Caenorhabditis elegans: one gene and its partners. The protein of the gene in region 2 purifies or fractionates together with the protein of the main gene of each other region. This does not show direct contact. Each region holds a gene or a part of one and is shown on either strand. Other genes may lie near its edges.

Region 1 (3,062 bases), 4.1 Mb from region 2:
CCTGAAATTAGCAAATTCAGGCTATTTTTCAGCATTTTCTCGCATGTTTCAACTGAAATGGGTGTTATTTTCAGATAAATCGTCTGATTTCTATATTTTGGCGAGAAATCAAGCGAATTCACTGAATTCCGGCTGAGAATCTGCCGCGTTTTGAAAATTGATATTTCAACTCTTCGACGGCTGCAGCCACAAGAGTACGGAAAGATGAGAAAGCACATCTCGTACAGCTTTCGGATGATGATAGGCGTGTGTGTGGAACATTTTTCTGTTTTGAAAGAAGAAAATAGGTCGGCAGAAAAAGAGATAAGAAGTGGGGAAAGAGTATTCTTTTTTGCTGCTGTTGTGCCGAGTAAGAGTAACGAGAAGAATAAAGAGAGAAAAATGTGGAGAGCGTCGTCGACCGCACATAGTGGAAAGAGAAGAGGGATACACAAGTCTCTCCGTGTTTTTGTTACTCTGTTTCGTGCCTCTCTTCAAAATGAACACTATTTCGTTCAATTTGAGCCGTGGAAAAACAAAATGCTGAAAAAAAGCTTTACGATTGATTTTTTTTATGCCTGCAATAATAAAACATAACTTTTGGTACATTTGTTTGTGAATTGATTCTATTTGCGAAGTTCTTATCTATACGAAATTCACGTGAATCAGAGATGAGAAGTGGGTTTTGACCACGTAGTTATCAAAAATTATCAAAAAAAAGGTTCAAAAATTTAATATCAAAATTTGAAAATGAAAACATTGAGAAAGTGACAGGAAATTGTGGAGATCGAAAAATCTAGGAGATTCTCTCCTTGGGCTCCATGATGACGACGGAGTTTCCGCGAATGACAGTCATGCCGAGGTTGACGGATCCTCCGTCCTTTTGGTACTCGACAGCTTCCTGCAATATTAAATTTTAGAATAAATTAGACAAAAACGGAAAAAGAAACATACGTCGATGACCATGTTCATGAATGGATCGAAACCGCGGAGGATTCCAGAGACGCGACGGTTTCCGTTGAGCTTCAAGTCCATCTCCTTGTCCATGTACTTTTTGAGCTCTGGTGGATGTGTCTTACTCATTTTTCTGAAAAATTGAGAATTTGCAGGGGGAAATGAAAATGAAGAATGGAAAAATCATCAAAGAAACAGATTTTACTTAAAATAGAAAATAAAGCTCATTTTTCAACTTCCACCTATCGAAAATTCAGATAATACATTAATTATAACATTTTTTAACTAATTTTTCAAAGAATAAACATGATAATTATCAGGAAAATTGGATGAAAAAGGCTAAAATCGACGAAATTATTTTTCGAAATTCGAATAGTACGCAAACACCACGCTTGGTACACCATAAATGACGACAAGTTGCAGACGCTTGCACACCGTACTCACACAATTCTTATCGGATTTCCGAGCTTTTTCTTTTCGTTTTTCCAATTTTAGATGGTAAAAAAGAAGAGTAACTATCATATTCTCGTCGCACAAAATTTCTTATCAAATATCAGTGTTGATGGAAGCCACAATGACACAAATCTTCGAATTTTCCAAACAAAAGGCCTTCCGAAGGTGAGAATCTTGGTTTTTCAGCGATTTTCGTAACTAATTGATAATTTTTTCAGATATCTCCAACGGAAAAGAAGTTTTCAAACGGCGCAAGCTCCACAACCACCATCCGCAACAATGAATCAGTGATCTCACTCGGAACATCCGCTTCACTCGGAGAACGGCTAAGCTCGTCGAATTTGCCGCAGGAATACGCGGAGACACCACAGAAAAAGTGAAAATTAGTTGAAAATCAATATAATTAATTAATTTTCTCTATTTATAGAACTTCAATCTTCCGAAGAATCGCGAAAATCATGAGCTCCGACGACGTGATCTATTCAATGACCGCCACAAACAGTAGATCTCCGATTCTTGAAGAAGGCGTCGGGAGAGAAGATAGTGGGCTGATTGGTGAGCTGGCGAGCTTATAAAAGCTTACAAAACTTGAAATAAAATAAATTAATTCAAAATTTTCACAGAATTTCGCTCAGAATCACCATCTTGTTCTTCAAATCAGTTCAGTTTTCTGAGAAGGCTCAAAAGCACCATTACCCATGCAGATAGGTGAGTTCAACCATCATAAAATCCTCTAAAATCCCCCACACTAACCGTTCCGTGTTGCGAACTAACCCACATTTTCAGATTTTACATCTGCACCTCGACGAATGGCCAGCCTCTGGCAGTTTTCTCGTATATCTCGCCGAACAGCGACTACGTGGATCCGCTGGCGCCGATTTTCGCCAACACAACCGTCAATAAGAAGAAATTCCGATCGAAATCGATTTTTGGAAGGTTTAGAATTAACATCTCCTCTATAATTTATATCTTCTACCTAATTTTCCCCGAAAACTGGCAATTATCTAACAAAATTTCACAAAAAAAGCGCAGGAATTCAGAAATTTCGGCTATGCGATCTTAAAGGCACATGGGTTTATTCAGCTGTGCATCGACGCGAAAAGACAGCATGTGGTAGTTTTTTTTGTTAAATTTTTCAGTTTTCAGACCGAAAAAAAGGAAAACAACGCAAATTTTCAGCAGAAAGTAAGAAAAAACGCTGCAATTTGCTAAAAATCCGTGCGCCTTTAGGTCAAAATCTTGAAAAAATACGATAAATTCCCATAATTTCACCTTATAATCCAATTTTCCAGCTCGGATCGCATGCGGCATCAGGCTCACTTATCAACAGAAGAGCTGCGGCCATTTGTCTTCCGAGACGCTGAAGATCAAGTAATTCTGGGGCAGATTCGCCGAAAGCGGAATCCTTCGCCGTTTTTCACGCTGTTCGACAAGTCGCCCGCCTCGATTTCCAGGAAAGAGCGGAGGGTGAGGCTTTGAATTTTGAATTTTAAGATTCAAAATCCGCGGAAAAAAGGCGAATTTTAGCTAAAATCTTCAATTTTACCGAGTTTTTCGTGTCGTAGCAGGCGAAAATTCGTATTTTTGCAAATTTTGCTCGTTTATTTCACTTTATATCGTTGATTTTCGTACTGTTTAAAGATGGAGTAGCGCCAGTGAGGAAATTGCTTTAAAAC
Region 2 (4,878 bases):
CGTAGTCGATTGCGATTTTGAAAATATTGTTTGTTTAGTAGACCTTTATTAATTATTCAAGAATCAAAAACTCATAAATTAGTAATAGAATACAAACCTGCAAACCAATATTCAAATGAACAGCTGCAACTCCTTTTCCATCTTCATTCGGTGTATCAATAAGAAGAATAGATTCTGGTGGACATGGAAGACTTTGAGTACTCAATGGCATAAGCATATCATTTGGATCGAGAGAAATTATTCTAACAGCGTTATCAACTGTTCCGAGTGCCAAAAAACGAGAATTGAGTTCTCCTTCTGAAATCTCACTGAACGTCATGCATGCAATATCTGCGTTGAATAGTTTTCGTTCCGTGAACTCGTTCAATGTTCCATTCTGCAAAAAATGATCATTAATTTGAATTAAGTTATTTTCTGTAAAATTCTACCAAATCTAATTCGAAATACACAAGTTCTCCTCCTGTCAATGCAACTGCAACTTGTCGTCGATTAACAGCACACTTGACAATTTGTCGCCGTGGTGGTGCCTTCCATTCATTGATACGCTTATCTGCCCGAATATGACGAATACCTTCCGAGTAGATCTGAAAAAAAAGATAATTAAAACAGAAAACTTTTCGAATATACCTGAACAAGAGAATCATCACCAATCATTGCACATCCAATAGTTGGTGTAGTTGGAAGAAATCCTGAATCTGATGCTTCTTCGACAGTATCTCCAATTGTTAGTGCAAGTGTGGCATTGACAAAGGAAACAACAATATATGAGTCATATTGGTCTGAAATTTTAAATTTTAAGAAATTGGTCAGATTTTTAATTTTTATTCTAAATGAAACCTTCGATATTCTTCTTCACAGTCCACACAGCATTCGGATTTCCAGGCAAATCAGAAACTGCCATTTCAGAAATTTCAAGTCCATTTCGAAGAACTTTCAAAGAAGATCGAGCACCACGTCCAACGAGTGAGTAAATCTGTGCTGCATCTTCTCGAGCAATATCTCCAATCTGTAAATTCATTTCGTTTTAGCTTTGATATTCAACAATCATTTTTTTCCGATTTTTCAGCTTTTAAAGAATTTTGACTTTTTCATTTTTTAAACTTAAAAATGGGTTTGAAACATGATGCTGGTGCTAAAATGAAAAAAAAAAAATTAATGTAAGTGTTTTTTTTTCGAATACTTTCATATTAGAAATTAAAGAGGAACAAAATTGAATTCCTATCGGAGTAAAATGTGTCCGTATTCCAGTTTCTACAAAAAAAAAGTTGGCAAAATTTCAGATTTTAGCAAAATTTGGATCGTTTTTTTTTTGAAATCTTAACCCGCCATTAAAACTCGTAAAACATACGACAGCATCTGTAAGAGGGCTCAAACTATCCATTGAATCAATTGGAATCAAAGATTTGAGCTCATGTGGCTCAAAGAATGCCGCATCGTTTTCTCCGAATCCCATTGCTGATGAAAATTCGTCATCATCTCCTTCACCCAGACTAGCGATTTGGTAGAGCTCACTGAAATAAATTTAATTGTAAAACGTTTGATTACTAAAATATACAATAGATTTCAATAAAATTAAAAAAAAAAACTAACTGATTTCCGAACTCTGCAGCCACGAACAAGAATCCGGATTTCAGAATACATAAAGCGTTCGCAGGCGGTACAGTATCAAAATATTTGAGTTTCATCTCCGACACAAGATCCTCATCAGTTTCCAGTGTTACTTTGAAAATATCTCCATTTTCAGCTTGAACAAGGAAAAAGTACATATTTTTCGTTTTATGAGTAGCCGTCGCAATGATGAGCATTGTTCGGTCTGCGTCATCGAGCTCGTTCTGTAAAAAATTATTGAATTCAAAATAATTTGGGGAGAAATTCAGAAAGAAAAAGAAAAGAAATCTCACTCTTCTTCTTGGAATCGGACATCTAATATCTGGTTGATCACCAAGATTCTTGTACACCAAATAGTTTTCACAGCACACGATGACACCAGACGGACCGTCATTACCACCTGGAACTGCGATAAGCAAGTTTCCTGGATCATTTAGAGGTTCCGCATACTTTCGAACAACATGATTTAATCCCAAATCAAGCTCGTAGAAGGTTAACGTTTGTTGTGTTCGTTTTGCTGCTTCTCCGGTTGGATCGTTGTCAGCATCCTGGAAAATTAGAGCTGATTATTGGATTTCACATAATTAAAAATTAACAAAACTCTCAAATTCTAATTATCTTTTTTCTCAAATCAATCTGACATTACAATGAACCTTTCACTGAGATAATGTCTATTGCTGGCATGAGCTGGCAAACTGGACGCCCGATTTTTTTCATCGAACGTCCGGTTTGCTATCCTAATCTACGAGATAACCTTTTTGAACAAAATCTTCACAACGAAAGTTGCCTTCTTCGACAATTATATAGAAACGAAAAATTGTAGTGGTCTTCAAAATAAATATTCTGTCTTGTTTCATTACCTCATAATCAAATTCCAGACACGCAAAAGTAGGATTCTCAAATCCCACATCGATTCCAACCATTGCATAACACAATGTGTGATGCTTGTGAGCTTCAAGTGGCGATGAAATTGTTAAATGTGCTTCAGAGTCTCGATTCATAATATAAACAAGCTTTTGACGTTCAACGGCTCCAATCATTAATGCACGTCCACGTGGGTCTCCAACCAAGAAATGGCCTGGAACGATTCGACGGCATCCAGTTTTTCCGAAAGTTTCCTAAAGAAAATAGTGAAAATATATGCTTTCCACGCGGAAGGTTACCTGATGCAGCCGCTCGAAACATGTTTTTTCAGCGTTATATTGTAAAATCACAATTCTACCCGAGTCTGAACCAACTGCGATGAAATCTCGAGTTCCAGCTGTCAAACGGAAAGCGAGAAGCGATCGAACTATTCCGAAAATGTCCTGGTGGCACATAACCTTAAAAATCAATTCTCGTTTATCAAAATCTGTAAGTTTATCAATTTCTTACTTTTATTTTGCCTGTAACTGTATCCAGTGTGAGCAACTCCAGTGCTGATCCGCGCCCAACAACGATTTCCTGGAAGAAACACATTTTCAATCATATAATTCTCTAACTTTTATACCTGCGCCTTGGGGGTTCCAGAGAAATTGCCCTGAATGGCCTGATTGATGGCCGATTGCCCTTGTAGTGTCAAATTGTACAAGTGCATTGTGGAACACGGCTGAAACACATATATTCATGGAACAAAAATTGAGATGTTGCAAATATTGAAGAGACATAAGTTCACAAGACTGGAATTATACGAAAACCATGTATTTCAACCTTTCCCGTCGTAAAAAGTGTAGAAAAATTAGATCTAAAAATAATATTCGAAAGCAGAGCCGTTTGAAAAGTGGGCGTGGCTTGAACCGCAATGTGCGGCGCGCGTTTTCGCAGATACATGGCACGGTTTCTACCAGGGGATGTTGTATTTAATTAAATACAACGAATAAAGGCAACAAAATTTTCATTTTACAGCAAAAATTTGAAAAAAAAAGAAGTTTGGCATGCAATTAGTTTTCAGAAATCAGAAAAAAGAACAAAAACAGAAATTTCATGATTCGATATTAAGTTCCCGAATCATATTTGAACAAAAACAACACAAGGAAGGAAGGAAAGAGTGAAAAATTACAGTGTTATTAGAAAAAATCAAGCTTTCAGTGATTGAAATAGCTCATCAAGACGTTGTCGTGGCGTTTCACTATTCAACAACGACTTGATATCGTCGTCCATCTTCAAATCAGCGAGAGCATCTGTCGGCAGGCTCTGTAAAAAATAAACATTTTTCTGAAAACAATTGGTATTGTGTACCTGCCACGCAGTATTGTATTTTGTAAAATACTCTGCGAATGCCATCATAAAGATACCACAATCCACTGAATTTTTTTGTTGCGGAAGCTTCTGACACACAACTTTTCTGAAATTATTATTAGGTATATGATGGATATCAAGAAATACAATTAACCGGAATCTCGTGCAAAACATATCAACATCAGTTGCAGCTGCGGACATCAGGAGCCAAAGACGAATGTGATCAAAAGTGGAATCATGGGTCTTATCAATAACTTCTCTGAATTTTATTTTATGCATAGCAGTTTAAAATATTTGCTTACCTGTATTTTTTTGAATGAACCAGGCTATCCATGATAATAATTCGACATTCACCGGCATTTTCATCACAATTAACATGACCGGTTATCCGTCTTGACAATCGTCTACTCTTCACTTTATTGGTCGCGTCAAGTATATTGACGTCGGAAATTCGACGAACCGCGCCTGATGGATTATGCACAATCACGAGGAACCTGCAAACTCTTTGAAACTCTAAAAATAAACAATTAGATGGAACTTGAAGTAAATTTAGAACTTTTAAATATCGAATAGTTTTCTCAGATTTGTAAAGGTTAAAAATATTTTACCAATGTTTCGGTTTGTCGAGATGAACTGGGATTAGCAGAATATCTTTTTTGAGAAACGTTTCGGCATCATTTTTGCTGCGGAAGAATCTGTTATAGTGGTTGGCGAGCTGAAATGTCATATCATTTGATGAAATCGCCATTGAAGTTTTTCAATCTTTGAAATATCTACAAACCTCTGATCTCCGTGGCGGATTCTCCTTAAAATCTTTAAAACAAGTCTTTATTTTCGGTAAGAAGAATGAATGAAAGACGTGACTACTGGCTCTTCTGTAATTATGAAAACATTAATTTCATAAAAATGTTTTTCATATCTTACGTAGCCTCATCGAACACTTCCAAACGCATCCAATCACACATATAAAATTCAATGATTGTGTCGTTGAGTAAAGTTCGATCTTCATTTCGTCCCACCCAGCCATTATGAAATAATGGAGGAATGATATGT
Region 3 (3,871 bases), on a different chromosome or scaffold from region 2:
ATTTCAAATAAAATGGTGATTTTAGAAAGTTTAATTTTTATTTGTTCAGGGAAAACAAGAATCCGGGTCTCGACACGGCCGAAAATTACTGAATCGAAACTGCAGAGATGAGTTTGAAACTGCAGAGATGAGTTATGTGCCTTTAAAAATACAGTAGTTTTCGGATTTTTAATTTTTCCTGTCAAAAAAATATTTTTACAGGTTTTTGAGTTAAAAAAAAACGAAAAAATCGTAATTTTTGAGGCGAAAATACGGTACCCGGTCTCGACATGACTATCTTTGTTAAACACAGAAAGGTGTACTCCTTTAAAGGAGTACTGTAGTTTGAAACTTTTGGTGCAGCGGAATTTTCATCGATTTTTTGCAGTTTTACTCGCGATTTGCTAAATAATATTTATGTGTGTTTTTTTTTATAATTGACCAGCCGGTGTCGTTCGAGCCTACGGCTCGACCTACTCCGACTGGCTTAAAATAAAGTTCGAAAAAAAAAATAAATGAATGAACTTGATTTTTTTTTTGAAAATGAAAACTTTCAAACTAACGTGAATTTTGCGTGTTGGCATAGCCTACATTGGACGGTAGGAAACTCTACTTTATATTTTTTTATAATTGATACACCTATTTTTAAGAAAAATATGAGAAACAATGAAAATTGTGCAACAACAGAAGTTTGAGACTACAGTACTCTTTAAAGGCGCACACCTTTTTGCAATTAACAACAAATTGTCGTGTCGAGACCGGATACCGTATTTTGCCACAAAAATGACAAACCTTCGGGTCGCGGTATTAGTTTCTCCCATGGTATTAAAAATTTCATTTTTCAGTTTCTCAAAAATTGAGCGGATTTAAAATCGAAGAAATATACCGTAGTATTTAAAGGCGCACGCTTTTTTTGAGGCATTAAACAAATTATCTGGCGTGTCGAGACCAAATGTAGCTGAATAAGTTTTACTATTTTATAAATTCAAATTTCAATGAATAATTTCAAAAGAAAAACATTTCCTTCACGTTTTCTTTTTTATCGAGAAAAAACCATGCCATAAAAACTCTTTTCAACATTTAAATTTTTTCGAATCAGTTTCAAAAATCGATTTTTCGAAGTGATCTGAACATTTTTCATTAAAAGGAGTTTTGGCGCGTAAGTTTTATTCTTTAAACTTTTTATTTAAACGAAAATTTAATTTTCCACCGATTATTGTTGAAATTTAGGAGTTTTACATTGTAAATGCCAATTGTCTTTCCATTATGTTTCGTCTCTACTTAAAATTTGTGATATTTGTCGAATTTTGCATGCCTTTAATTGTTATTTAAAGCTTAAGCGTATTTTCTCCATTCCGCACGGAAAGCGCGCCTTTCATCCTTACTGACGCATTTCCCGACGCTGGCGCACTTCTCGACCATCTGCCACTTTGGACACGTCAGCGCTTTCCGGATTCACTTTAAATGAAGCTTTCCTGGTCCCGAATCGCCGATTTTCAGAATTAGAATTTTTTGATTATCACACTGCGTCTCTTTTCTCTTTTCGGGTACACGTGGAAGCGCGTGTCGTTTTGTCTCTGTGTAGCACGCTACACAGAATGTCTCCGCCTCGTTATTTTCTCTCTTTTCCTCTTTTCTCACCCCCATTTAACCACTAAAAGTTCCCACTTTTGATCTATTTCAGTTCATTCATTTATTCTCTAAAAAATGCCTGATTTACCCGATTTTTAAGTGATTTAATTAATAAATTAATTGCATAATTTTCCAGATTCAATATGTCGTTTTTATGGGACTGGTTTAATGGAGTGCTCAACATGCTGGGTTTGTAAAACTGAATTTTACCATCATAAAACCTTTTATTTACAGGATTGGCCAACAAAAAGGGAAAATTGGTATTTTTGGGACTAGACAACGCTGGAAAGACTACACTGCTTCACATGCTTAAAGATGATCGTATTGCTCAACACGTTCCCACTCTTCACCCAAGTAATTATCGCTTTTTATTGATTTTAAAAGCAATTCCGGTGTAGTTCAGCCTGTTAAAGGAAGGAATCTTACTTTAAAAAAATGATATCTTTCTCTTCTTTACAGCTGATTGACCGGTTTTGCTTATCATCTGTCAATTGCTAAAGATGATGACGCAAAAAACTAGTTGTGAGAATTATTGAATTGATTATTTTTCAGCATCTGAGCAAATGTCACTCGGAGGAATTTCGTTTACCACATACGATCTCGGTGGTCACGCGCAAGGTATTCACTCGTTTTTTCGGTTTTTTAAACTAATTTTCTTCATTTTTCCAGCACGACGAGTCTGGAAAGATTACTTCCCTGCCGTGGACGCCGTCGTCTTCTTGATCGATGTGGCCGACGCCGAAAGAATGCAAGAAAGCCGTGTTGAGCTCGAATCGCTGCTCCAGGACGAGCAGATCGCTTCCGTTCCAGTGCTTATTCTCGGAAACAAGATTGACAAGCCAGGAGCATTGAGTGAGGATCAGCTCAAGTGGCAACTCAACATTCAACATATGTGCACCGGAAAGGGTTGGTTTTTGATTGGAAATTATCGCTTGAATTTATTTAAAAAACGAAAATCTTTATAGGAGACGTTTCCCGCAACGAAATGGCTTCTCGGCCGATGGAAGTGTTCATGTGCTCTGTTCTTCAGCGACAAGGATACGGAGAAGGAATCCGTTGGCTTGGACAGTACCTGTAAACAGATCAGTTCTTGAACTCTTCTTCTTCTGCTCACTCCTTTTTTATTCCATTCTCGAAAAAAGCACCATTCTCTTACATATTGCGCCGCCAACATTTCCCATAGATTTGTTGTACGTACTTGTCATTTTCCTTCGTTTTTTCTTTTGGGATCCTTGGGATCCTCATCATTAAACTTCTCATGCCTTCGACGTTTGTGCATAAAAAAGCAAGCCGCAATCCCATTTTATTTTATTTATAAATTTTGACTTATACGGACTTGTAAAAAATTCACGGCGTCCTCATTGTTTTTCTATTCTCCACAAAAATTTATTCAAACCTTTTCCTCATCTATTCCGTATTTATCACATCACTATCATTCAAACATCCCCATTTTTCTTCTCGTCCCACTTCATTTCCCCCTCAGATTTTCTAATTTTTTATTTCGGTTAGTTCTATGTGAATGAAACAGCTTCGGAATGTTGCAGTTCGAAGTTTTCCCAGAAATTATTCTCTTATCACGCTACTCACAAGAAAAAAAACGTCACGCCATATAGTTGTTTTCTTTGTGGCGAGCTTTAACTATAGTTATAACTGAAACTGAAAAACTTGGAATTTGAAAAGAAAATTGTTGATCGGAGTACATTTGATCACAAGGGCCTGTAGTCAGGCGACATGGTCAAACATTCCATTATGTGGTTTGTGTTCCAAGTGGTCAAACGGACACATTTCTATTTCAGGTGCGGAAAAAAAATTAATTTCAGATCAGATAATTGGCTATTTTTCCAGAAGAACCTTTTCGTCGTAGTCTCACAGATGGCTTCTGCAGTACATTTGAGTGCACACAGCTCACTCCAATTCTCTATTCCTCCACTCTCTCGACGCAATGGTGTTCGTGTGCACCCACTACGAATATCCAATAATCAGGGAAGGGAACCTCCTTTATTCATAGAATTTTAAATAAATATTTTGAATTTATCATCATCTATATTTTACTTGTAAACTCTATTAAAATAGTTTTATCGTCAAAATACTTTGAATTCGATAATTTTGCGGGAATTGTTTTTTTCAATTTTCAGATTAAAAAGCGATAAAAACCATGTCATTATTCTCGTCACTTGTTCATAATGTACGGGGGCAGGTAAAAATATATTAAAATATTAATTTGAGCAGAAAATTTGAACTTTTAGCTAATCGCTCGAAT

Evidence for each region.
Region 1: the proteins of teg-4 (region 2) and snr-7 fractionate together in Caenorhabditis elegans (co-fractionation; one large-scale study listed by BioGRID). This does not show direct contact.
Region 3: the proteins of teg-4 (region 2) and sar-1 fractionate together in Caenorhabditis elegans (co-fractionation; one large-scale study listed by BioGRID). This does not show direct contact.

The regions. Positions count from the first base shown.
Region 1 is NC_003279.8:2,725,018-2,728,079, reverse strand, and holds snr-7 (putative small nuclear ribonucleoprotein G), read right to left. Parts: upstream 1,067-3,062; 5' UTR 1,063-1,066; coding exon 934-1,062; intron 881-933; coding exon 776-880; 3' UTR 698-775; downstream 1-697. Other genes in the region: Y71F9B.6 (Cyclin N-terminal domain-containing protein), read left to right, coding at 1,429-1,551, 1,605-1,762, 1,814-1,941, 2,010-2,094, 2,173-2,322, 2,679-2,853. UniProt on the Caenorhabditis elegans protein: Plays a role in pre-mRNA splicing as a core component of the spliceosomal U1, U2, U4 and U5 small nuclear ribonucleoproteins (snRNPs), the building blocks of the spliceosome.
Region 2 is NC_003279.8:6,812,836-6,817,713, reverse strand, and holds the start of teg-4 (Splicing factor 3B subunit 3), read right to left. Parts: upstream 3,204-4,878; 5' UTR 3,185-3,203; coding exon 3,098-3,184; intron 3,052-3,097; coding exon 2,983-3,051; intron 2,931-2,982; coding exon 2,772-2,930; intron 2,727-2,771; coding exon 2,469-2,726; intron 2,157-2,468; coding exon 1,902-2,156; intron 1,833-1,901; coding exon 1,591-1,832; intron 1,512-1,590; coding exon 1,349-1,511; intron 1,007-1,348; coding exon 838-1,006; intron 780-837; coding exon 628-779; intron 585-627; coding exon 429-584; intron 377-428; coding exon 98-376; intron 1-97. Other genes in the region: ulp-5 (Ubiquitin-like protease family profile domain-containing protein), read right to left, coding at 3,664-3,780, 3,826-3,931, 3,980-4,084, 4,128-4,319, 4,434-4,540, 4,607-4,700, 4,750-4,878.
Region 3 is NC_003282.8:4,511,196-4,515,066, reverse strand, and holds sar-1 (Small COPII coat GTPase SAR1), read left to right. Parts: upstream 1-1,747; 5' UTR 1,748-1,754; coding exon 1,755-1,800; intron 1,801-1,845; coding exon 1,846-1,965; intron 1,966-2,163; coding exon 2,164-2,229; intron 2,230-2,280; coding exon 2,281-2,517; intron 2,518-2,576; coding exon 2,577-2,689; 3' UTR 2,690-3,174; downstream 3,175-3,871. Other genes in the region: ZK180.8 (uncharacterized protein), read left to right, coding at 3,484-3,627; rfth-1 (Man(5)GlcNAc(2)-PP-dolichol translocation protein RFT1), read left to right, coding at 3,767-3,808, 3,858-3,871. UniProt on the Caenorhabditis elegans protein: Small GTPase that cycles between an active GTP-bound and an inactive GDP-bound state and mainly functions in vesicle-mediated endoplasmic reticulum (ER) to Golgi transport.